Linked DNA regions of Rattus norvegicus. The main gene of each other region encodes a partner of the protein of the gene in region 2 in a complex. Links are inferred from orthologs where the notes say so. Each region holds a gene or a part of one and is shown on either strand. Other genes may lie near its edges. The genes, in order: Gpr4, Gna13, S1pr2, Gpr35 and Adgrd1.

Evidence for each region.
Region 1: the proteins of Gna13 (region 2) and Gpr4 are in contact, whole or in part, in a cryo-EM structure (PDB 9JHP), measured with the Homo sapiens proteins. The link is inferred for Rattus norvegicus from reciprocal best matches to the Homo sapiens genes GNA13 and GPR4. Residues at the interface, in NP_006563.2 of Homo sapiens: Arg47, Pro341, Tyr343, Phe359, Lys363, Asp364, Ile366, Leu367, His368, Asn370, Leu371, Lys372, Gln373, Leu374, Met375, Leu376, Gln377; in NP_005273.1 of Homo sapiens: Gln45, Asn50, Arg115, Ala118, Val119, Ala120, Pro122, Leu123, Ala126, Ile204, Val208, Ser211, Val212, Ser213, Thr214, Glu218, Lys221, Ile222, Leu225, Asn290, Glu291, Gly292, Ala293.
Region 3: the proteins of Gna13 (region 2) and S1pr2 are in contact, whole or in part, in a cryo-EM structure (PDB 7T6B), measured with the Homo sapiens proteins. The link is inferred for Rattus norvegicus from reciprocal best matches to the Homo sapiens genes GNA13 and S1PR2. Residues at the interface, in NP_006563.2 of Homo sapiens: Arg47, Val216, Phe359, Lys363, Asp364, Ile366, Leu367, His368, Asp369, Asn370, Leu371, Gln373, Leu374, Met375, Leu376, Gln377; in NP_004221.3 of Homo sapiens: Ser66, Met68, Tyr69, Leu72, Arg130, Ala133, Ile134, Lys136, Val137, Lys138, Leu139, Tyr140, Tyr209, Ile212, Val216, Ser219, Gln227, Thr228, Leu231, Leu232, Val235, Tyr288.
Region 4: the proteins of Gna13 (region 2) and Gpr35 are in contact, whole or in part, in a cryo-EM structure (PDB 8H8J), measured with the Homo sapiens proteins. The link is inferred for Rattus norvegicus from reciprocal best matches to the Homo sapiens genes GNA13 and GPR35. Residues at the interface, in NP_006563.2 of Homo sapiens: Lys46, Arg47, Leu48, Val49, Lys214, Asn215, Val216, Phe218, Arg331, Gln337, Gln338, Lys340, Pro341, Leu342, Tyr343, Phe359, Arg360, Asp361, Lys363, Asp364, Ile366, Leu367, His368, Asn370, Leu371, Lys372, Gln373, Leu374, Met375, Leu376; in NP_005292.2 of Homo sapiens: Phe45, Gln51, Thr53, Thr55, Met59, Asp113, Arg114, Ala117, Val118, Pro121, Leu122, Arg123, Arg125, Arg128, Ala197, Leu198, Arg201, Pro202, Thr204, Asp205, Gly207, Gln208, Ala211, Ala215, Met218, Val219, Ala280, Lys281, Glu282.
Region 5: the proteins of Gna13 (region 2) and Adgrd1 are in contact, whole or in part, in a cryo-EM structure (PDB 9V0U), measured with the Homo sapiens proteins. The link is inferred for Rattus norvegicus from reciprocal best matches to the Homo sapiens genes GNA13 and ADGRD1. Residues at the interface, in NP_006563.2 of Homo sapiens: Val49, Val216, Phe218, Phe359, Val362, Lys363, Asp364, Ile366, Leu367, His368, Asn370, Leu371, Gln373, Leu374, Met375; in NP_942122.2 of Homo sapiens: Asn599, Arg601, Leu657, Met660, Val661, Ile662, Val664, Phe665, Ser667, Val737, Ile738, Ile741, Ala761, Val764, Asn810.

What each region holds. Positions count from the first base shown.
Region 1 is NC_086019.1:88,001,803-88,005,068, forward strand, and holds Gpr4 (G-protein coupled receptor 4), read left to right. Parts: upstream 1-1,276; 5' UTR 1,277-1,569; coding exon 1,570-2,667; 3' UTR 2,668-2,765; downstream 2,766-3,266. UniProt on the Homo sapiens protein: Proton-sensing G-protein coupled receptor activated by extracellular pH, which is required to monitor pH changes and generate adaptive reactions. Activated by an optimal pH of 6.8-7.2.
Region 2 is NC_086028.1:94,836,150-94,840,256, reverse strand, and holds the start of Gna13 (guanine nucleotide-binding protein subunit alpha-13), read right to left. Parts: upstream 2,802-4,107; coding exon 2,519-2,801; intron 261-2,518; coding exon 34-260; exon of another isoform or gene 1-33. UniProt on the Homo sapiens protein: Guanine nucleotide-binding proteins (G proteins) are involved as modulators or transducers in various transmembrane signaling systems.
Region 3 is NC_086026.1:27,787,544-27,791,781, reverse strand, and holds the start of S1pr2 (sphingosine 1-phosphate receptor 2), read left to right. Parts: upstream 1-1,437; 5' UTR 1,438-1,538; intron 1,539-4,238. UniProt on the Homo sapiens protein: Receptor for the lysosphingolipid sphingosine 1-phosphate (S1P). S1P is a bioactive lysophospholipid that elicits diverse physiological effects on most types of cells and tissues.
Region 4 is NC_086027.1:100,973,093-100,977,386, forward strand, and holds the start of Gpr35 (G-protein coupled receptor 35), read left to right. Parts: upstream 1-1,487; 5' UTR 1,488-1,648; intron 1,649-4,294. UniProt on the Homo sapiens protein: G-protein coupled receptor that binds to several ligands including the tryptophan metabolite kynurenic acid (KYNA), lysophosphatidic acid (LPA) or 5-hydroxyindoleacetic acid (5-HIAA) with high affinity, leading to rapid and transient activation of numerous intracellular signaling pathways.
Region 5 is NC_086030.1:33,212,277-33,215,785, forward strand, and holds part of Adgrd1 (adhesion G-protein coupled receptor D1), read right to left. Parts: intron 3,211-3,509; coding exon 3,031-3,210; intron 1-3,030. UniProt on the Homo sapiens protein: Adhesion G-protein coupled receptor (aGPCR) for androgen hormone 5alpha-dihydrotestosterone (5alpha-DHT), also named 17beta-hydroxy-5alpha-androstan-3-one, the most potent hormone among androgens. Also activated by methenolone drug.

The DNA.
Region 1 (3,266 bases), on a different chromosome or scaffold from region 2:
GACTGTTGTCTACTATAAACATGTAGATCTTCGCAGAATAAAGGTTCCGGGTCCTTACTGGACAGCGGGTAAAGGAGAGGGACGCCTGTGAGGGCTGCGCCCCCTGCTGGCTGCAACTCGTGTCCCTAACCATGACCTTTTCAGAGTCTAACAACTCCTGCTCTGCCCCACTGTCAACCCCGAGGTCCTTTTACGCCAGTGGGACTCTGGGAAACGAAGGGCTGTCTGGGAAAGGGGGCTGAGGGCAGAGACTTCCCACCTTGGGCATCAGGACCTTGGACAGATCTGAGTGGTGCTCCTTGTCAAAGCTGTATCTGCTCTCTGTTAAAGAGCATATGCATGCGCGCTTGCTTCCGCTTGCCTTTCTGTATAAGCGGGAGTCAGAGGACAACCTATAGAATTGGTTCCTTTCTTCCACCGTGTGAGTTCCTGGAATCGAACTCTAGTTGTAAAGCTCCTTTCCCCATTGAGCCATCTCCACACTCCTCACCATCCACTGCTTACTTAAAAACACGTTTTCATAGCTTCAAACCCAGTATGTAGTGGAGGATGACTTTGAACTCCTAACTGTCCATCCTCCACCTTCTGGTTCAAAGACACATGCCGACATTTTGGGTCTTTAATTTGTATTTGGAAAGTCCCTCTATTGCCCAGCACCCTAAATCCTATGCTCTTAGACATCTCTGCCTCAGGGTGATACTCAGGCTTTGTTGGGGTGTTCCTTTTGTCTTCCACAGGAATAACGGGAAGGTCCTGGGGAGGCCAGTATGGACATCCATGCCAGTTTCTCTAATGTTTTCTCTCCCCTCAGGCCTAGTGACCTCAGCTATCAGTACAGTCGTGAGTGGGACAACCTCATCTCCACTCCTCAGTCTCCACCAGGATCAACTGAGTCTCCTGGAACCCCCTTCGGAGTCCCCCTCCTACCCACAATCCTCTTGTGCTCCGCCACTTACTCACCTTCCTGTTTCCTAGCATCCCTTCCTACAGTCACCAGCCCTTACAAGCCCTTCCTCTTTGCCCATCCCCAGAGGAGACCTCACTTTCCTTCCCCCATTGGTGACTTTACATAGTTCTCTGTTTCCTGCTGCGGTCCTAGCAGATGCCAGCATTCTAAGTTGCATCCTGCCAACTCTGTAACTTCTCTCAAAGCTCCCCTGTGTCTTCCCTTAGTGTTCTAGAACATTCAATCCCACTGGTACTTCATCATGTCCCTATTGACAATAAGCATGACACCTCTGGTGTCTTCATCTCCCCCGTAAACACTGCCTTCACCTATTTTTCTGGTGCCCCCATCTTTGCGCTCTGGTTGTTGTGCAGAAACCCCCACTGACATTAGTCCCACCTCTTATCCTATCTCCATCACTCCTTGACGTTCTTCCTCTCAAGTTCTCCTTTTGCTTAGCCTACCACAAAGCAACTCGGATCTCACTCCTTGTGAACTGTCTCCTGTGATGCTTCCCTGAGCCTCCAAAGAGGGGGCTCAGGGGGCCTGATGGCCTCCCGCCCCCCGTGGCCCTGTAGCCCCAGTGGGCCAGGGGAAGCGCCTGGGAAGTCCCATCGCCCAGGATGGACAACAGCACGGGCACGTGGGAGGGCTGCCATGTGGACTCTCGAGTGGACCACCTCTTCCCACCATCCCTCTACATCTTCGTCATCGGGGTGGGGCTGCCCACCAACTGCCTGGCCCTGTGGGCAGCCTACCGCCAGGTGCGCCAGCGCAATGAGCTGGGCGTCTACCTGATGAACTTGAGCATCGCAGACCTGCTGTACATCTGTACGCTGCCGCTGTGGGTCGACTACTTCCTCCACCATGACAACTGGATCCACGGCCCCGGCTCCTGCAAGCTCTTTGGCTTCATCTTCTACAGCAACATCTACATCAGCATCGCCTTCCTGTGCTGCATCTCCGTGGACCGCTACCTGGCTGTGGCCCATCCGCTGCGCTTTGCGCGCCTGCGCCGGGTCAAGACAGCAGTAGCTGTGAGCTCCGTGGTCTGGGCCACCGAGCTAGGCGCCAACTCGGCACCGCTCTTTCATGACGAGCTCTTTCGTGATCGCTACAACCACACCTTCTGCTTCGAGAAGTTCCCCATGGAGCGCTGGGTGGCCTGGATGAACCTGTACCGCGTCTTTGTGGGGTTCCTCTTCCCCTGGGCACTCATGTTGCTGTGCTACCGCGGCATCCTGCGGGCCGTACAGAGCAGTGTGTCCACCGAGCGCCAGGAGAAAGTCAAGATCAAACGCCTGGCCCTGAGCCTCATCGCCATCGTGCTGGTGTGCTTTGCACCCTACCATGCTCTCTTGCTGTCTCGCAGCGCTGTCTATCTGGGCCGGCCCTGGGACTGTGGCTTCGAGGAGCGAGTCTTCTCTGCCTACCACAGCTCCCTAGCCTTCACCAGCCTCAATTGCGTGGCTGACCCCATCCTCTACTGCCTGGTCAACGAGGGTGCCCGTAGTGACGTGGCCAAAGCCCTGCACAACCTCCTCCGCTTCCTGGCCAGCAACAAGCCCCAGGAGATGGCCAATGCTTCCCTCACCCTGGAGACACCATTGACCTCCAAGAGGAGCACCACCGGCAAAACGTCTGGGGCTGTCTGGGCAGTGCCTCCCACTGCCCAGGGGGACCAGGTGCCACTGAAGGTGCTGCTGCCCCCGGCACAGTGAGCCCCATGCCCAACTGTCATCCTGCACCCTCCCCATTGTATGCAAATGTATGTAAATATGGCCATGTGGATATTCATACGAATACAAGAGAAAAATGAGGTTGGTGTGTCTCTCTCAGCCATCTTCTTCCACTATGATGCCCAATGATTCACTTTATTCCAGCAGGGCCTGAAGGGGAGTGACACAGCTGGGAGTTTGTCATCATGGACTCCCAGATGGCGAGTCAGCCATGGAGAGTTTGGGATGAGGGGATAATCAAGTCAACTGTTTGGTTTCTAGACAGAAGAGTCTGATCAGATGCTACAAGTTTGTGACTCCAGCTACTTGGGAAGCTGAGGAAGAATTTGGAAGTTCAAGACCCACTTGGACTACAAAGTGAGACCCTGTCTCAAAGTGTTAAACACAGCAAAGCCTGGGGAAGTAACCTAGCAGTGTTTATCTAAAATCCCCAGGGAGGAGCTGGGGCATGGCTCAGTGGTAGAGCCCTACCTAGAATCCCCCAGTGAGAGGTTGGGGGCGTGGCTCACTGGTAGAGCCCCTGCCTAGAATCCCCCAGTGAGGGGCTGGGGGCGTGGCTCACTGGTAGAGCCCCTGACTGG
Region 2 (4,107 bases):
TAAAAACACATTTTAGACAAGCGAATGTCTTACCAGTTGGAATTCCCGGCGCCGATCGTAGGCATTCTGTATGCCACTGTCATCCCATAAGGCTCTTATAGCAGGAAGATACTGCAAAAAAACTCGAGTCTCCACCATCCCCTGGGCAGCCATGGGAGCTCGGGTATCAAATGCCATCAACTTGTCTCCGTGGACCTGGTTTTTGTTATCTCCCCAGGGAATATGAAGCTTCTCTCGGGCATCTACCAGCACCCTCATACCTTTGTTTAAAAAGAAAAAAAAAAAAAAACTGTGAGGAAGAGTCATGAAGATACCACCAGAGGCTTTGGCCCCAGGGTTGGTCAGTATTGGTTCCTTAATTTTTAGCTATCACAGAAGCCCCACTTCCAAAATGGAGACCAAAATCAAAACAAAACCTTTATGTTCTCAGAGTTAAGAAACAAGTAAGTGTTCATTGTTTCTCAAAACCAGAAGCCTTGAAAATATTAATAACAAGAACACTTTGGGAAGGATTTTAATATGCTGCGATTCATAAAAACCATTTCTGGAGGAGGGCAGTCAAAACCAGAGACGGAAAAAATAAATAATGTTGTCTAGCCTGAAGCCAGGCTAAAGTCAGCCTGGCACACGCTAAGAACGGTTTACGGTGTGCAGTCGTAGTCCTTCAGCTCCCTGCCCACACTATCTTCTAGGACACACTGAACCTCAAAGCTTCCTCAGTCCAAGCTTCTAATCAGTGCAGTCACACACTGGCTGTAGAGTTACCCAAAAGGAAAACCAACTGCAAAATAATCCGAGACTGCACTTACACAGGTTAGCCCGAACTCCACGACCCTGTGGCTACACTGCTACTTCTGTCACCGGGAAGTCATTTCTTAGGATACTCGAAGAAAAAAAATTAAGCTTTCACTTTTCTGACCACGGCGATTGAAGAAAATAAGATGCCTAGTTAGACTTAGACTTGATCACACAATAATGCTCAAAGTAGCTCTTAGGCCCAGTGTATAAGGAAAAGCAGGTGATTTCCCTCACTCACAAGTCTGTTCATTAACATAATTCTTTTAAGTTCAACTGTATCAGGATACAAAGGTACCTTCAATTAAGGGCTGGCAAGGTGCAGTTTACAGCCTTAGAGGAGACTTTAATTAGTTTTGTGCTGAGCATTAAGGCAGACTACCCACAACCATCCTTTTCACTTAACAGCAAAGGTACAAGGTCTTAAGTAAGAGCAAGCCATGGTCTGCTCTTGGCCTCGCCCTGCCCTCTCCTCTCACTGCCCAGCAGCGAATCCTCTTTAGTTCTTCCCTACTTGAAACACTGATGGGGGGAGGAAGGGACCCATGAGGGAGTTTGCTTATGCACTTCTTGAACAACAACAAAAAACTGGCTTTGAAACAACTCCCTGAAAAGACCTACAATCTTACAGTTTGCTTCTGAGCCCAAGATTTAATAGGGTGACTCCTCGACCCCTCAGAAATCGGCTGCTGTGCCCCAATCCTGCCAACTTCTCTTACACAGAAAATATTTGACACTAAAGGGGAAAAAAGGGCGATTCTTTTAAATGACAAAATAAAAAGCCACCTCCGCGACTTATCTGAACACTAAGGAATACTTTGTGTGGTTTTCACTTAGGAACAGTCTTTAAAACACTGTTCAACAGGATTTGTAAAGCCCATCATCCAACTCAATGCATATTCCCCGCCTCTCACTAACTTGTCTTGGATGGTCTTCTAAGACTTTTATGCCAAAGGGTCTTTATATTTAAACATGAATTCGTTTAAGCATTGGTAACGATGCCGTTTTTCTCCTGCCTCAAGTTATTAAGCAAAAAGAAAAAAAAGTGTGCAACATGTTGGGCTGTAATTACAAACATCCTGTAGCAATGAGCCGATAAAACCACTGGCGCTATTTTTTTTAATAGACTTTCCTGATGCCAGTTCAGTAAACGCGAGTTTCATACTCTTACCTCAAAAGGCTCTAGAGGCTGTCACTCTATGCCCTTGACAAGAGTCTCAGGGCAAAAAAAAGTTTCCTCATTACGACCGTTCCAGAACTTGCTTAAGTCAAGAGGTGGCCTAGGACGCCCAGAGCTGTAAGGGTGACAGACCGGGTTACTAGAGTCACCCACTCTGGACGGGCAAATAAGGGAAGAAGAATAGAACCTAAAGCTACTGATGGGTGGTCGTGCCTGGAGTTCAGGGAGGACACAAGTTGCCCCGCTGCCCCGAGTCACTCTGCTCGCCGCACTTCCCTCTCGGAGGGGGCGAGGCCAGCCGCGGAGTGCGGGGCCGACCGTGACCCTCACTGGGGTAGCACGGGGAGGGGGCGGGGGGACAGCAGGGCGTCCCGGATCGAAGGGACTCGGGCACCGCAGCGCACAGGACGGTGACCGAGGCGCGCCCACAGGATTGCCCGTCCGATCTGGTCTGGTTCGGTCTCCTCAGACTTGGGACCGGCGGGTGAGGGCGGTGCCCAGCCCGGCTCCCCTGGGGTCCCCAAGCCCCGCCGCGCCCCGCACCTTTGATCACGTTGCTGTAGATGGTGGGGCGGAACTCCTCGCGCGCGCGCTGGTCGAAGTCCTGGCCGTGGATGATCCGCATCTGCTTCAGGAAGGTGGACTTGCCGCTCTCGCCCGCGCCCAGCAGCAGGATCTTCACCAGCCGCTTCACGTAGGTCTTCTCCCGCGACAGGCATTTGTCGATCTCCTTGGACTTGCGCTGCTGCTCGGCCTCGCCGTTCGTCAGCACGCAGCCCGGGAAGCACACGGACAGCACGGAGCGCGACGGCAGGAAGTCCGCCATCTTGCCGCCGCCGCCGCCTCGGCGGGCCCCTGCGGCTCCTCCACCTCCTCCTCCGGCAGCGGGTGGCTCCGGCAAGGCGGCTGGAGGGCGGGGAGCGCAGCGGCGGCCCGAGCGCGCCCGGGGAGGGAGGGAACCCGAGGACTGACTCGCCAGGGCGGGACGCGCCGGCCGGGGGAGGGTGGGAGGGAAGGAGGGCGGGCCCGGGGAGGGGCGGCGGCCCTCTGGGCGTGCGCGCGCCCGCCGCCTGCCGGGTGCGCGCACGCAGGCACGCAGCGGGGGCTGGGGGGGGCGGCGCGAGTCACGCGCTCGCTGGCCTGGCTGAGGCCAGGAGCGCGCGCGGAGAACTGCGGAGTCCGGGGTCACGTGGGCCAACCTGGGCGCGCGCGCGCCTGCGGATCCAGAGTTTCTGTTTCCCTTTAGTGCCACCGTTTCCCGGAGCCCCGAGGCGAGTAAGCAAAGCCCATCCAGACCCCTTTCCGTTAAGGCATCCTTATCTCTACAGTTTCCACTGCTCTTTCCCATAGTTCCTCGCCCGCCGCTTACTGTCACCTTCACGCGACCATTGGCTGGGACATCCCTGCACGGACCAGGGCATTCGTTACATTTTGCCTTTTTTTTTTTTTTTTTTTAAATTCTTGAGACAAGTTCCCTGCGGCTGTAGCTGGCTTAAATCTGTGACAATTGTCTTATCTCAGCCTCCCTGTCTACTTCTGGTATTACAGGCCGGCCAGGGCTTTATTTCAAGCTCGTGCACTTAATTAGCAGCGGTCACCGCCTCCCCCCCCCACGGCCCTCACCCTACCCCTGCCATCCTAACCATCCCGAAGGATAAGTAGATGTCGGATGTCCTTATTGATCAACACCTCTTCCTAGCAGCTCAGGGCACTATTGATAACCTGCCCTGGCTGGCTCACTAATGTGGATTCCCAGCCGGGCTGCATTTGTGACTTGGGTAATGCCTGCTGAGGTCAGTGAATGGTGGAGAGGGTGAGGTCATGTTGAAAATCCCCCTAAACCGGACACTATGATGCGATGCTCATTCTTCCCAAGGAAGCAGATAAGCGTTCAGCCTAGGACTGCGGCAGGCACATTTTAGGTTTCCTGCCAGACTTCAGAGGATATGACAGACAAGAAAAATTTTTTTTTCTGTCACACCAGCAGATCAGGCCTAACACCTGAAAAGACTCCCAGGGAACACGTGACAAGTGACATCTGAGTGACTGTGTAGCAAAGACCTCAGAAGCCAACTTCTTCATTCTTTGTCAGTTTCAAAGGGGAAAGGCGGTTTGATGCCTGTCTGGTTTTG
Region 3 (4,238 bases), on a different chromosome or scaffold from region 2:
TGTTTTGTGTGTTTAATTTTTCTGTTTTGCTTTTAATTACGTGCAACTGTGGGTATGTGCACGTGAGTGCAAGTGCCCTTGAGGCTGAAAGTGTTGGATCCCCCAGGGACTGGACTCATAAGAGGTTGTCAGGTCTGAGGATGCTGGCAAGTTCTGTCCTCGCAAGAGCAGGAAGTGCTCTTGACCATTTGAGCCATTTCTTTGGCACCTTTTAACAATTTACTAATTTTAACTTCATATCTCTGAGTGTGCGCATGCATGCGGGTGTGCACAGGCGTCAGGGCAGCAGTCCTTGGAGGCCACAGGGCAACTTGCAGGAATTGGTGGTTCTCGCTCTCCACCAGGTGGGTCCCAGCAGGGCCTTACCCACTGAGGGCTCAGCAGCCTGTTACTCTTTGTTTTTTAATGCATTTGTTGTGTATGTATCGGTGTGCGCAAGCAGGTGTAGCAATGCCAATGTGTCCTGTGGAGGTCGGAGGCCAACTTTGTTTCCAGGAGCTGAACTCACGTCACGCTTCCAGGCAAGCAAGCACTTTCCCCTCCCTGCCTAGTGGAGCCAGACAGCTGGCCTTCTGTTACTCTAATTTTGGAATTTTTTTCACTCTGACTCGTTTGGAGGGCCAGAGCCAACAGGATCATGTGATCAAGACTGGCCTTGAACTCTAAAACATACCTCCTGCTTCTACTTCACAAGGGCTGGAATTAGATGTCCAAGCCACCATTCCATATTTTTGCAGCGTTGGGGATGCACGCTAGGCAAACACTCAACCGCCTGAATCCACGGCCCCGCCTGTTGTTTTTCAGAAAGGGTCTTGAGCAGGCAGTACTGGCTACGGCTGCTAGGTACATTAAACTCCTGATCTTCCGACCTTCTAGGTGGCAAATGCTGGGATGACAGGCATTTGTGCCACAAACACCCAGTTCGATTTGAGGGTTCTTACCAAGTCAATGAACAGTTCTATTTTGAGGACAGGACATGGCACAATGTAGGAAGTAATTTCTTGTAGAAACACAAAGTAGGTGCTTAATCCTGAATTGCTGAGTCCTCACATAGTAGGTAAGCGTGATTTCCTCCATTTTCAGGTCCCAGGTGTCAGCCTGGAGCTAAGCCAAATGGAAATACAGTTGTTTCAGGACTAGGCCACCTGGGTTAAGAGAGCTGTGACGTCACGCGGCCGTGACATCATGCGACGGCAGTTCTCACGAGTGGGGGCTGGGAGGAGCAGGGCGGGATGGGGGGGGGGCTGGTGCGGACAAAGGGACCATGCTCTTCCCCCTTGCACGCTCTGGCTAACTGGAGGGCCACATCTGGAATTCATTGCAAGTCGCAGCCGGAAAGAGGAGGAGAGTAGGCGGGGCGAGCAGGGAGTTGGGGCCGGAGGCGGCGGCTCTGCCCGCCTCTCTCTTGTCCTGGGTCCCCAACTCCGGGACATAGACCGAGCACAGCCAACAGTCACCAAAGTCAGCCACTGGCTGTCCCGGGGCGCAGACGCCAAGGCCACTCAGGCCAGGGCAGGGACCCTGGCCGGCCTAGCCAGGTGAGCGCGCGGGGCAAAGGGGAGGTTCCGATCTGGGCGGGCCGCGCTCCACTGAGACCCAGGGATCCCAGCTTGGGGGCCTGGCCCGGGGTCAGGCGCTCGTACAGGCGTTGCACGCGCTGCTCCAGGTTCTGCTGCACCGAAGGGACCGATCATCCACCATGCGCCCCTGCCCACCACTCCAGGCAGCTCCCCACTAACTCTGTGGCGCACCCCCAGACTGAGCTCCCCGCCTTCCTTCGGGCAGGAAGTTGGCGCTGTAGAGAAAGGCGGAATCCGACCTCTTTGGGCTGGCGACTTTGCAAGACTGGATGGGGGTTCTGAGGAAGCAGAGTTTGGGGCAGTGAGGTTGTTAGGGAGAGGTGCAGCATCCCTTCTTTCTCCGGCTTGAGTTAGGATGAAAGGTGCTACATAGAAGCCGCGGATGCTCGGAGGTCATGGGCGGGGTCCCTGGCCTAGACCATCGCTCTACCGCCAGTGAGACTAGTTTTTGGGGGGTTTTTTTGTTTTTGTTTTTGTTTTGTTTTGTTTTTTGCCTCAGTTTCCCTTAGTTGCCCCTCTCCTTCAGTCTACCTTTCGGGAGAATCACTTTGTTTCGAAGTAAAGGGATTTGAACTGCAAAGTCCTGGTATCTCCTCTTCTCGTCCTAGCCCAGGGATGGGGCGTAGGAGTGAAGGAAGGCACGCGTGGCGTGGAGTCCGCGTCGTCGCGGGCTACACAGCTTGGAACCTCGCCCCCTTCTACAGCACGGGTTGACTCACCCGGGGATTTCCATCTCCCCCACCCCCGTCCCTATCCTTGTTAGATACCCGAGGCGACACCCGCTGAGCCTACTGTCCCCTGTGGGGCAACGTGGGTGCATCACTGATGGGGGAGGGAATGTAGTTACTGGTAGCTACTCTCTCCTTTGCCCCGGGAATCTAGATGTGGGGGCTCTCTGGTGGGATGCAGAGTGTCGCCTCCCCCTATTGCCTTGTGCAGGATAGGGACATTCTGCGCGCGTGTCGGGGTCTCGGGAGAGAGATGGCGCCGCCCCAGCGCGAGCGAATCTGGATACCACGCATTCCTCGGCCTGATAAGGAGCCCGGAGAGTGCTGCCTGAGCCGGGCGGGTCTTACTGTCGTCGCTATGGAGACGCTCCTGGCTTCGTGTAGTGGTTGGGGAGGGGTGCTGCCAGGGGACTGATGTCCTCATGCTTTGCATGTTAGCCCTCCAATTTGGGGCTCTTTCATTCATTCATCATGGCACGGGAGGCTGAGGGTGAACTTGGTAGCTGGCCTCACACCGTACTGTGGAAAACAAGATAATTTCCGATGATAAAGCCAGATGCTCTGATAGAAATTGGGGCTGGGCTGTGCTGGACAAAACTCTCGGTTCTTTAATCCCAGTGCTCAAGAGGCCGAGTTAAGGGGGCATCTTTGTGAATTCAAGGCCAGCTTGCTATACATGAGTTGTGAGTTTCTGGTCAACCTGGGATACCCAGTAAGGCACTGTCCCCAAAACGAAAACAAATCGAGAAGGTAGTTCCTGAAGGCCTAGACAGTGACGGTCAAATGAAATCCAAAGATAAGATAGTCTGCCAGAAAAGGTGTTTGTGTGTGGGCGGTGTGTGTATGTGTGTGTGGGGGGGTCTGTAGGATATACCAGAGGCAACTATAGCGGGTCTGAAGGCCCTGAGATCCAGATTCAGATGGGTCTTGGGAGGTTAGTGTGGTGTACACTTGCGCCGTAGGGAGCCCTAGGAGAGTGTGGCGGGTGGGGTGAGGATGAATTTCGGAGTTCTGTCAGTTCTCCCCTGCAAGCTTGGTGGGCAGCAGCCATGTAGGAGGGGCTACACCCACACAGCAACCAAAGGGGTGGGGGGAGGCTCCTGCAGGGCTGAGCTTCCCCAGCTGCTTGGGAGGGATGAGTGAGCTCTGGAACTGGGAGGGAGTGGAGGGGAGCCACCAGGCCTTCCTTCAGCCTTCCTCTCCACTAATCTTTAGCTAAGCAGTCATGTCTGGGTCTATCTCTCTTCCTTCACTCCAAACCCTTTCACTTGCTCCTCTTCCTCATATCTTTTCTGCAGTCCTGGGAACCCAGGGCTTCAAAATGATGCAGTGTCTCTAAGCCACACCAAATTCTCTTAATTTTATGTATTTATGGACTGGGTCTCATTGGGTCTCACCAGGTAACTCTAATGCCCTGAAACTCACTACGTAGATCAGGCTGGCCTCAAATTCACAGAGATTTGCATGTCTGTCTCTCAAGTGTGAAGATTAAAAGTGTGCACCCCAACACAGTGCTTTTTTAATACATTTTAAACTTACACTTATTTATTTTGTGGGCATGTATATATGTGTGGGCATGTGTGTTTCATGGCATGGGTGTGCAAGTCAGAAAAAAATCTTTTGCAAGTCATTTCTCTGTGGGGGTAGTGGGGCTGGATCAAGTCTCCAAGCTTGGTGACAAGTCGAGCCATCTCAACATCTCCCAGCCTTCCCATTTAACTTTTACTTGAGTCAGGGTCTCCTTGTGCTACCCAAGCTAACCTCCAACTCATTATGTAGCCTAGGCTGGTTTTGAACTCTCCATCTTCCTCAGCTCCCTGTGTTGCTGGGCTTATAGGTATGAACCAGTCAGGCTCATTTCCAATAGAGCCTAGTCTCTATGACAACTTCCCCTGCCTCTAAAAGGCAATCTGGACCACTGTGTGGAGGT
Region 4 (4,294 bases), on a different chromosome or scaffold from region 2:
AACCAGCCTGGGAAAGTTAGTAAGATCCTGTATAAAAATAAAAGGCAAAAAGAGGGCCATAATGTTCTAGTATACTCCCTCAACCCCACCATCTCACACACACACACACACACACACACACACACACATGCACGCACACGCACACACTTAGAAAGACTTGGTTGTTGTTGTTGTTTTGTTTCGTTTTGTTTTTCAAGACAGGGTTTCTCTGCGTAGCCCTGGCTGTCCTGGAACTGTGTTGACCAGGTTGGTTTTGAACTCAGAGATCCTCCTGCCTCTGGCTCCTAAGTGCTGAAATTAAAGGTGTGTGTGCACCACCACCGCCCAACTTAAAAATAGATTTTAGACACAGAATACCCTCTTGCCTCTTACAGCTCTGCAGTGCTCCATGCTGCCAGCCTTGCAGACTCAAGTGTGAGGCTATGACCACTCTGTAGGTCTGCACTGCATTGCTGACCCTGAAGCATTCGCTCATCATTTTCTCACTGTCTGGGGTAGATTCCTAGATATGAGGTTATCGGGTCAGATAATTATCACAGTTCTCGTTTTGCCTGACATCTAACATCTTAGGGATCAATGAGTCATGCCAGAGGAAGTCACTCAGATCAACACGACTTTTGGACATGTACCCGTTTGATGGAGAGGGGTCACAGTGCTGTAGAGAGCTGCATTTGTGCCTGTCTTCCCTTGATCAGGCTGGATAACTTTTTCATATCTCTAACAGTTCACGCACATGTGTGTCTATCATCAGCCACATCTTGCTCAACCTTGGAGGAAGTGGCTCAGAGGGCTGGTGGCCCTGGAGTAGCTGTGAGAACCCTCAGTCCCGTGTTTCTCAAGAAGGCTGCCTTCGTGTGTCTAAGGCACCAATTAAGCCAACTCCCGGCCCTCCCAAGACATGCTACCTTATGCAAGCAGAAGGCTGGTGTCTGAGGGGAGAGATAGAGTAAGATATTCACTTCACACAACTCTCGTGAGCTGGCTTTTTTTTTTTTTTTTGAGAAAGTGTTTCTCTGTATAGTCCTGGTTGTCCTAGAACTAGCTCTGTAGATCAGGCTGGCCTCGATCTCACAGAGATCCTGCCTCTGTCTCCCAAGTGCTGGGATTAAAGGCATGTTCCACTACTGGCTGGCATGAGCTGACATTTTTGTCCCAGAAGATTTCTTTAGTCTGAGGTCTCTGGCATAGGTCAGGACCTGTGAGCTTTTTTTTTTTTTTTTTTCAAGAAGCCTGTCAAGGCTCCGTATTAGGAGGGTGGGTAGCTAGAGGGGCCCTCAGATTAGAGGTGGATTGTGTGGAGAAGACTCTGCTAGAAAGGTATAGCGTTCTTGAAATCATCTTGAGGCTGGGAAAGACAGTTGGTGACTAGAGGGCTATGAAGGGAGACAGCATCTTCCAGTAGTGGGCCTGGCATGAGGCCAGAAGCCAGCCTTCTAGTCAAGAAAGGGGAAGGAGGGCCAAGAGTGAGGGAGGCAATTTGAGGGCAATAAAGGGCAAAGAGGCTCTAATGAGGCAGAAACTGTCATGTGGGCAGCAACCACGGTCCCATTCCACTGCGTCAGAGGGGGTTCCACAGAGGTGTCTGGCAGCACTAAAACTGAGCAGCACTTGGGGAAGGCCAGCCTGGAGTAGAAGAGCATTGCCTGAGGTGAGTGAACCACCAGGGTGTGAGACTGGATGTCAGTGAGCTTCCCCCTTCCCTCAGTCTGCAGGATCCTCCTGCTGTGATCTCTGGGCAAGGCAGATTCTCTCAGAGGATAATGATTCTTCTGTAGTCTTTGGGGTGTCTGTTGACCTAAACCATCTGTGGACACAAGTTTCCTAGAAGGAAGGATTATACCCGTATGTCTCTCAGGACACATTGGCTGCTGGAGGTGGGTGCTGGCCTCCTACAGAAGAGGGATGAGTGGGGCAGGAAGGACAGTGGCCGTTACTGCCACCACTCAGCACCACCTCGCAATACAGAGCTCTTTAGGACTTAGAACTCTGACAGCTCTTCTCTGGGCCCTCTCAGGAAGTCCATAGACCCCTCTTAGAACTGCTTCAGGATCCCTCAGACCTTATCGGTGTCCCCTCAAGGTCTCCTCAGGCTCCCCTAGAACCCTCAGGATTACTTCAGGCTCTCCTCAGATTCCCTCAGAATCTCTTCAGGACTCTTTCAGATGTCCCCAGAAGTCTTTCATGTCATTCCCCTCAAAGCTCTTGTAAATCTCCCTCAATAACTCCTTTAGTTTTCCTTCAGGGCTCTCTCAGGGTCCTATTCAATATTTGAGGATTCTTTGGGTTTTCACCAAGTCTCTTGAGCATCCTATTGTAGCTTCTTCCCATCAGAGCTCTCAACTATGACCTATGGAAATTTCACCGGCAGAGGACCATAGAGCTAGCATAGGCAGAGGCCAGAGTTGCCCACTGAAGGAATGAACCTGGGCATCAGATCTCTGTGCTGTCTGAGACAGAAGAGAGGCCGGGAAGACGAGAGATGATGAGGGCAAGGTCATTCGCACCAAACAGGGCTGCAGTAATTATGCCGGGAATACGCTTAACTAGTTACAGGTGGACAGAGAGGTTCAGCTTCTGGGAACAGAGCCCGGAAGGAGCTTTTAGCAGCTCCTAGCACAGGCAGCCAAGAAGCAGCAAAGTTGGAGCTGTCCAAGGGAGAGTGAGTACCTCTGAGTGGAAGGATAAGCCTTCATTTCCAGGAAGCCTGGGCATAGTCAGAGAGTCAGTGACTTCACCAGAGGCCGTAGGCTTCCCGGATCTCAGATATGACCAACTACAAAGAGCTTAACCTCAGTGCTTTTCCTGAAACTAAGTTGACTTCTTCTTTTTGCCTTTGCCACATTTTTGTTGAAATGATCATTTTAAATCAGTCTGAGTAGAAAATACAAGCTGGTTTGTGGGGGCATGACAGGCACCTGAGTGGGGAGCGAATCTAGGCCTAGCCAGGCCTGCTCTCTTAGTTCCACGCTCACACCTTTGTCTTCAGACTACCGGCTCTGTCGTAGCCCTGCGTGATTGCATAGATAAATCTCAGAGGCCGTAGGACAATTTTTTGTTTAAGAGAGGATACAGAAAATGGCTGCCTAATCGATCCTTTAGGTCTCCTCACACTTTAGGTCTCCCCAGTGACTCACAACACAAATCACTTTCAGGGTAGAAGTTCTTGCTGTCATAACAGAAAGTTGGAGGAGCCTGAGGGGCCTTATTTATTCAAGAAGGCCAAGAGAGTTGGGGTGCAGACATCAAGGGGCTATATGAGACAAGTTTCAGAGTGAAGGGACCCTACAACAAAGTTACTAGCCGTGTGGCACCATCTCCCTCAACTGCCTGACTGATTTGTCTGTCTAAAGAACTGATGGACTTTGCTCTCCACAGACATCTCCAAGTTAGATGTGGGGTCATTTCTTTATTTTTGCAAACATATGGAAATTTTCAAATACGCAGAAAAGTTGGGGTGGGCAGAGATAACAGTGTCCCAGTCACTCATCCCCACAGAGCCACCTCTGTCAAGTCTGCGTAATGAAGACCCCACTCCCTGTAGCCTTACTCTACCAGGGACTTTCAGGAGAGTCCCAGATCCTGTGACATCCATGAGACACTGCTTGCCTATTGCTCAGATGAGAGTTTTGTAAGAATTAGCTCCTAGACAAAAGTCTGGGCCTTGGCATACAGCTGCTGGACAAGGCCTACAGAGCCATGGACCAGGACAGTGGTTTTCCCCAGGTTCTGGGGTTGGAGGTGAGAGCCCTGGCCTGGTACTTAACTGTACCTTGTCAGGCTCACCTTGTAGAGGAGACAAAGGCACAAGCTCAAAGAGGAGGACAGCAACAGGTGGTCAAAAACACCCAGGAGGAAATCGTGGCATGGGAAATGTCCAGCAGTCCCCATGGAGAGCCGGAGAGAAAGTAGAAAGCTGAGATTAGAGGGATCATGGATGCTGGGCCCTGAAGAAGGGCTGCTGGGTCCAAGGTGGGAGAAGGTGGATGGAGTAAGGGTGTGTCCAGGGTGTCTCATGGCCGCTTCCTGAAAAAGATACCAGGTTGAATGTGGGGGTGGGGGTGGAGGTGGGGAATGAGTGTGGGGAGGGGTGTGGGGTGAGGGGGTTGGGGATGGGGTGGGGTGTGGGGTGAGGGTGGGGTGGGTTGGGGTGGGGGTGGGGGGTGGTGACTTCCAGGTGGGATTTCATTGAGGAGCTGGAAAGCTTGAGATCCTGAGATGGGGAGAGACTTCAGTTCAAGTGGAGCCCAACGGTGTCACCATTTTGGGCACCTTGTTATCCTTTGAGGTGGGGCCG
Region 5 (3,509 bases), on a different chromosome or scaffold from region 2:
GGTATGGTATAGGTATGATATGGTATAGGTATGGTATGGTACAGGTATGGTATAGGTATAGGTATGGTATGGTATAGGTATGATATGGTATAGGTATGGTATAGGTATTGGTATGGTATAGGTATAGGTATGATATAGGTATTGGTATGGTATAGGTATGGTATAGGTATTGGTATGGTATAGGTATTGGTATGGTATAGGTATTGGTATGGTATAGGTATTGGTATGGTATAGGTATGGTACAGGTATAGGTATAGGTATATCAGAAAAAGCATGATCCGGGATAGAACGTGATAAACTGGTCTCCATTAAAACTGGAAACATCTGCTCTGTGAAAGAAGTTGAGCATAGGAGGAAAAGGCCAGCCATGGCTGGGGAAATATCTTCAGTGGATGCTGTTACACGAAATGGGCAAAGAGCTCTCAGACCTCACAGTGAGCGAGTGAACACCCCGCTTAAAGGTAGGTAAAAGGTCCAAGCTCAAAACAGACTCCCCCAACAGACAAGATGTATGATGCCAGGAATGGGCCCCGACATCCCCCCAAATACGTCCACATGAGCACGGCACATCCCTGAAGCATAGTCCAGGGGTGGGATGCTGCTGTGGGGAGGTTGGTCATGCACAGAGCTGGGGAGGCCCCTGGGAGCCCTCTGTTCCGTGGACTCAGTTTCACTATGGGTTTTTAATGCTTTAAAACATGGAGGCTATAGTATAATCGTGCCAGACTAGTGGCCATGCACCTGGTCTACAGAACCGAAGAAGAGGCAGAGTAGGAACCTGGTTTCACTGAGGATGGGCCGCCATGCTGACTAGGCTGTATAGGAGGGCGGGCGCTCCACTAGGAGGCAGCTCCCCTACCCCCTCCTGTCATTAAAAGGCGAAGCCGGGGTGGCGACTCTCTTTTGTTTCCAATGGGAACTTGGAAGACCTGGCTTTTGACATGACATCACAACCTCTGGTCATAGCTCACTCCAACGGACATTGAGAATCTAAAAACCTCAAAGGCCTGACCGGACATTGCCTCTATGACAACATATATAATCAACATGAGGTGACACAATGACTATAGCCAGCCTCCTGGCTCCATCAGACACCTCCTTGGAAGCCTCTGGGTCCTCCTTCTCATCAGTAGGAAGACTGGCCCACAAAGACATCTGTTTTGTAAGCCTGGGTGTAAGACATGCTCCTGGGGTTGACAAAGGTGACACAGAGTAGCCCCCCTCTGAAGGACACACAGCGCCCCTGCCCGTGGGTCACTGTGGACTGCCAGTGATTACATCAGAGCTTCCTGCTGGGGATTGCGTAACACTTCAGTAATCTTGACGCTCTGAGGAACACTTGGGCCCTGGGCAGGGCCAACAAAACGTTATTGTGCTTGACTTTGCAAGCAAGAATAACAAAGCCCTCCAGTGAACAAATGAGGAGCAGATGAGAAAAGGATGTTTACAAGTCTCTCTCGGCATCCCTGGGTTGGAAAACAGCACATGTTCCGTTTCAGAGAACCTGCTAGATGCCTGATGCTTGCCACAGGCCCAGGGCCCATGGGGGGGGGGGGGGGGATGAGCTGTTACCTAGGAAACCTTGACCGCAAGCGGTCCTCACTGAGAGCCTTCGCAGAGACTCAGACAGAGCCTCCACAAGCGGGAAGGCAAAGGTGTTTCCAGCCTTGGAGGTGGGAAAGAATCCAGAAATTTGATATCGTCCCTTGCTGCTTTTCCCCACCTTGCAGAGGAGGAACTACGAGTTCAGCTGAAGCAAGTCCGACACCCACGGAGCAAACCCAAGTCTCCCCGGATTCTGCCACCCATTGTTCAAGACTCCTTTGATCCATCAGCAGGCTGTCTCCCAGTGAAATAGTAACTGTTACTCTTCTCAGTTACAAATGAAGAAATGGAAGAAAAGTTTTTGAATATGATACCAGGCCAGTAAAGCTACAAAGTACAGAGTTAGGACCTGGCCTGACATCTTTACAATTAAGCTGTGTCACCTCCTTCAAATGAGCCAGAAGAGGATGCTGGGCGGCTTCAAAGATACTGTTCTCAACCTTAACCAATGCCGCACCCCTTTAATAATACAGTTCCTCGGGGTTGGGGATTTAGCTCAGTGGTAGAGCGCTTGCCTAGCAAACGAAAGGCCCTGGGTTTGGTCCCCAGCTCCGGAAAAAAGAAAAAAAAAGAAAAAAAATTTAAAAAAAATAATACAGTTCCTCGTGTTGCGATGACCCCCCCCCATAAAATAATTTTCACCCCTACTTCATAACTGTAATCTTGCTGTTGTAATGAATTGTAATTTAAATATCTGATAAGCAGTATATCTGATCTGTGACCCCGGTGGGAATCTCGACCGGTAAGTTGAGAACCGCTGTTCTCAAGGCTTATCATGGAGACCTCTGACTCTATCCTGGCTAGTTTCTATCCAGGCCCTTCCTGCATGCCACATGAAATCCTTCTGTGGACCTAGTCACGTTCCTCCTCTAAAATCTTACACTATCTTTCCTGCTCCTTGTTTCAGATGCCCAGTCTCCAACTCAGCTAATAGCATACCACAGAGCTTCTTCTCTTACGCTGAAACTCAGGCCCTTGGCATCCCAGTCCCCTCTGACTGGTTCTAAAGGTACGTCCTTAATAAGACCATACACTACCACCACCTCTCCTCCTGCCTTACTGCCTGCTCTCTGATTAGCAGCCTGTCTTCCCCAGAACATTTTGCACCGTGAGGGCAGTTTCAAGGCCATATCACCGAATGGTGCTAGACAGGGGGATTTAAATCATGGTCTGTCTTCTGCACATAGCTTCCACCTTAGTCCCAGACAATTACTGGGCACCTGCCATGTCACCTCCATCATGCAGAAAACCAGCCTCACACAGCCACTAGGGCAGCAGCAATCACACAGTGAGCTCATAGGGCTTTGACCTTGGTGTGAAGCCACCTTGTGACCAGTATCCTTCTGGTACCTTCTCGAGCTGCTGGTAGGAAGGAGCCCTGTGCCACACTAATGGGACAGAAGCTCCTTTTGGTGCTTCACTCACCCGGAGGGTTGAAGGTGGCCTTCCACGTCATGGAATTATCTCGTGTGTACAGCTCCACAGAGCCCTTTCCACCACTAAAGCAGACTTTGAACCCGTCAGAGACGACCTGCCCCCCATAAGCGTAGGGGGCTGGTCGGGTCTGTTCTCCTTGAGTCTTCCAGAAGAATGAAAATGACACTCCTGAAGAGAGAAGTAGGCATTTATCAGTTAGTGCTTCAGAGGCACGAAATGACACAGCTCTATCCGGTGAGGGACAAGTGCCGTCCCGAGAGTGCGACCTGAGCCATCGCCTCCTTCCAAATAGTGCAACGCTCCCATTCCCAAGTCACAGAAGAGGGAACCGAGACCACTCAGTGAGTGACAGAAGGAAGTCAGACACGGACCCAAGCTGACTGCCTCTGGGTTGTGCGAACGTGAACCTTTTCGTGACGGTCTCCACCCCACCTGCTCACCCCGATCCTGACAACGATTTTACACAG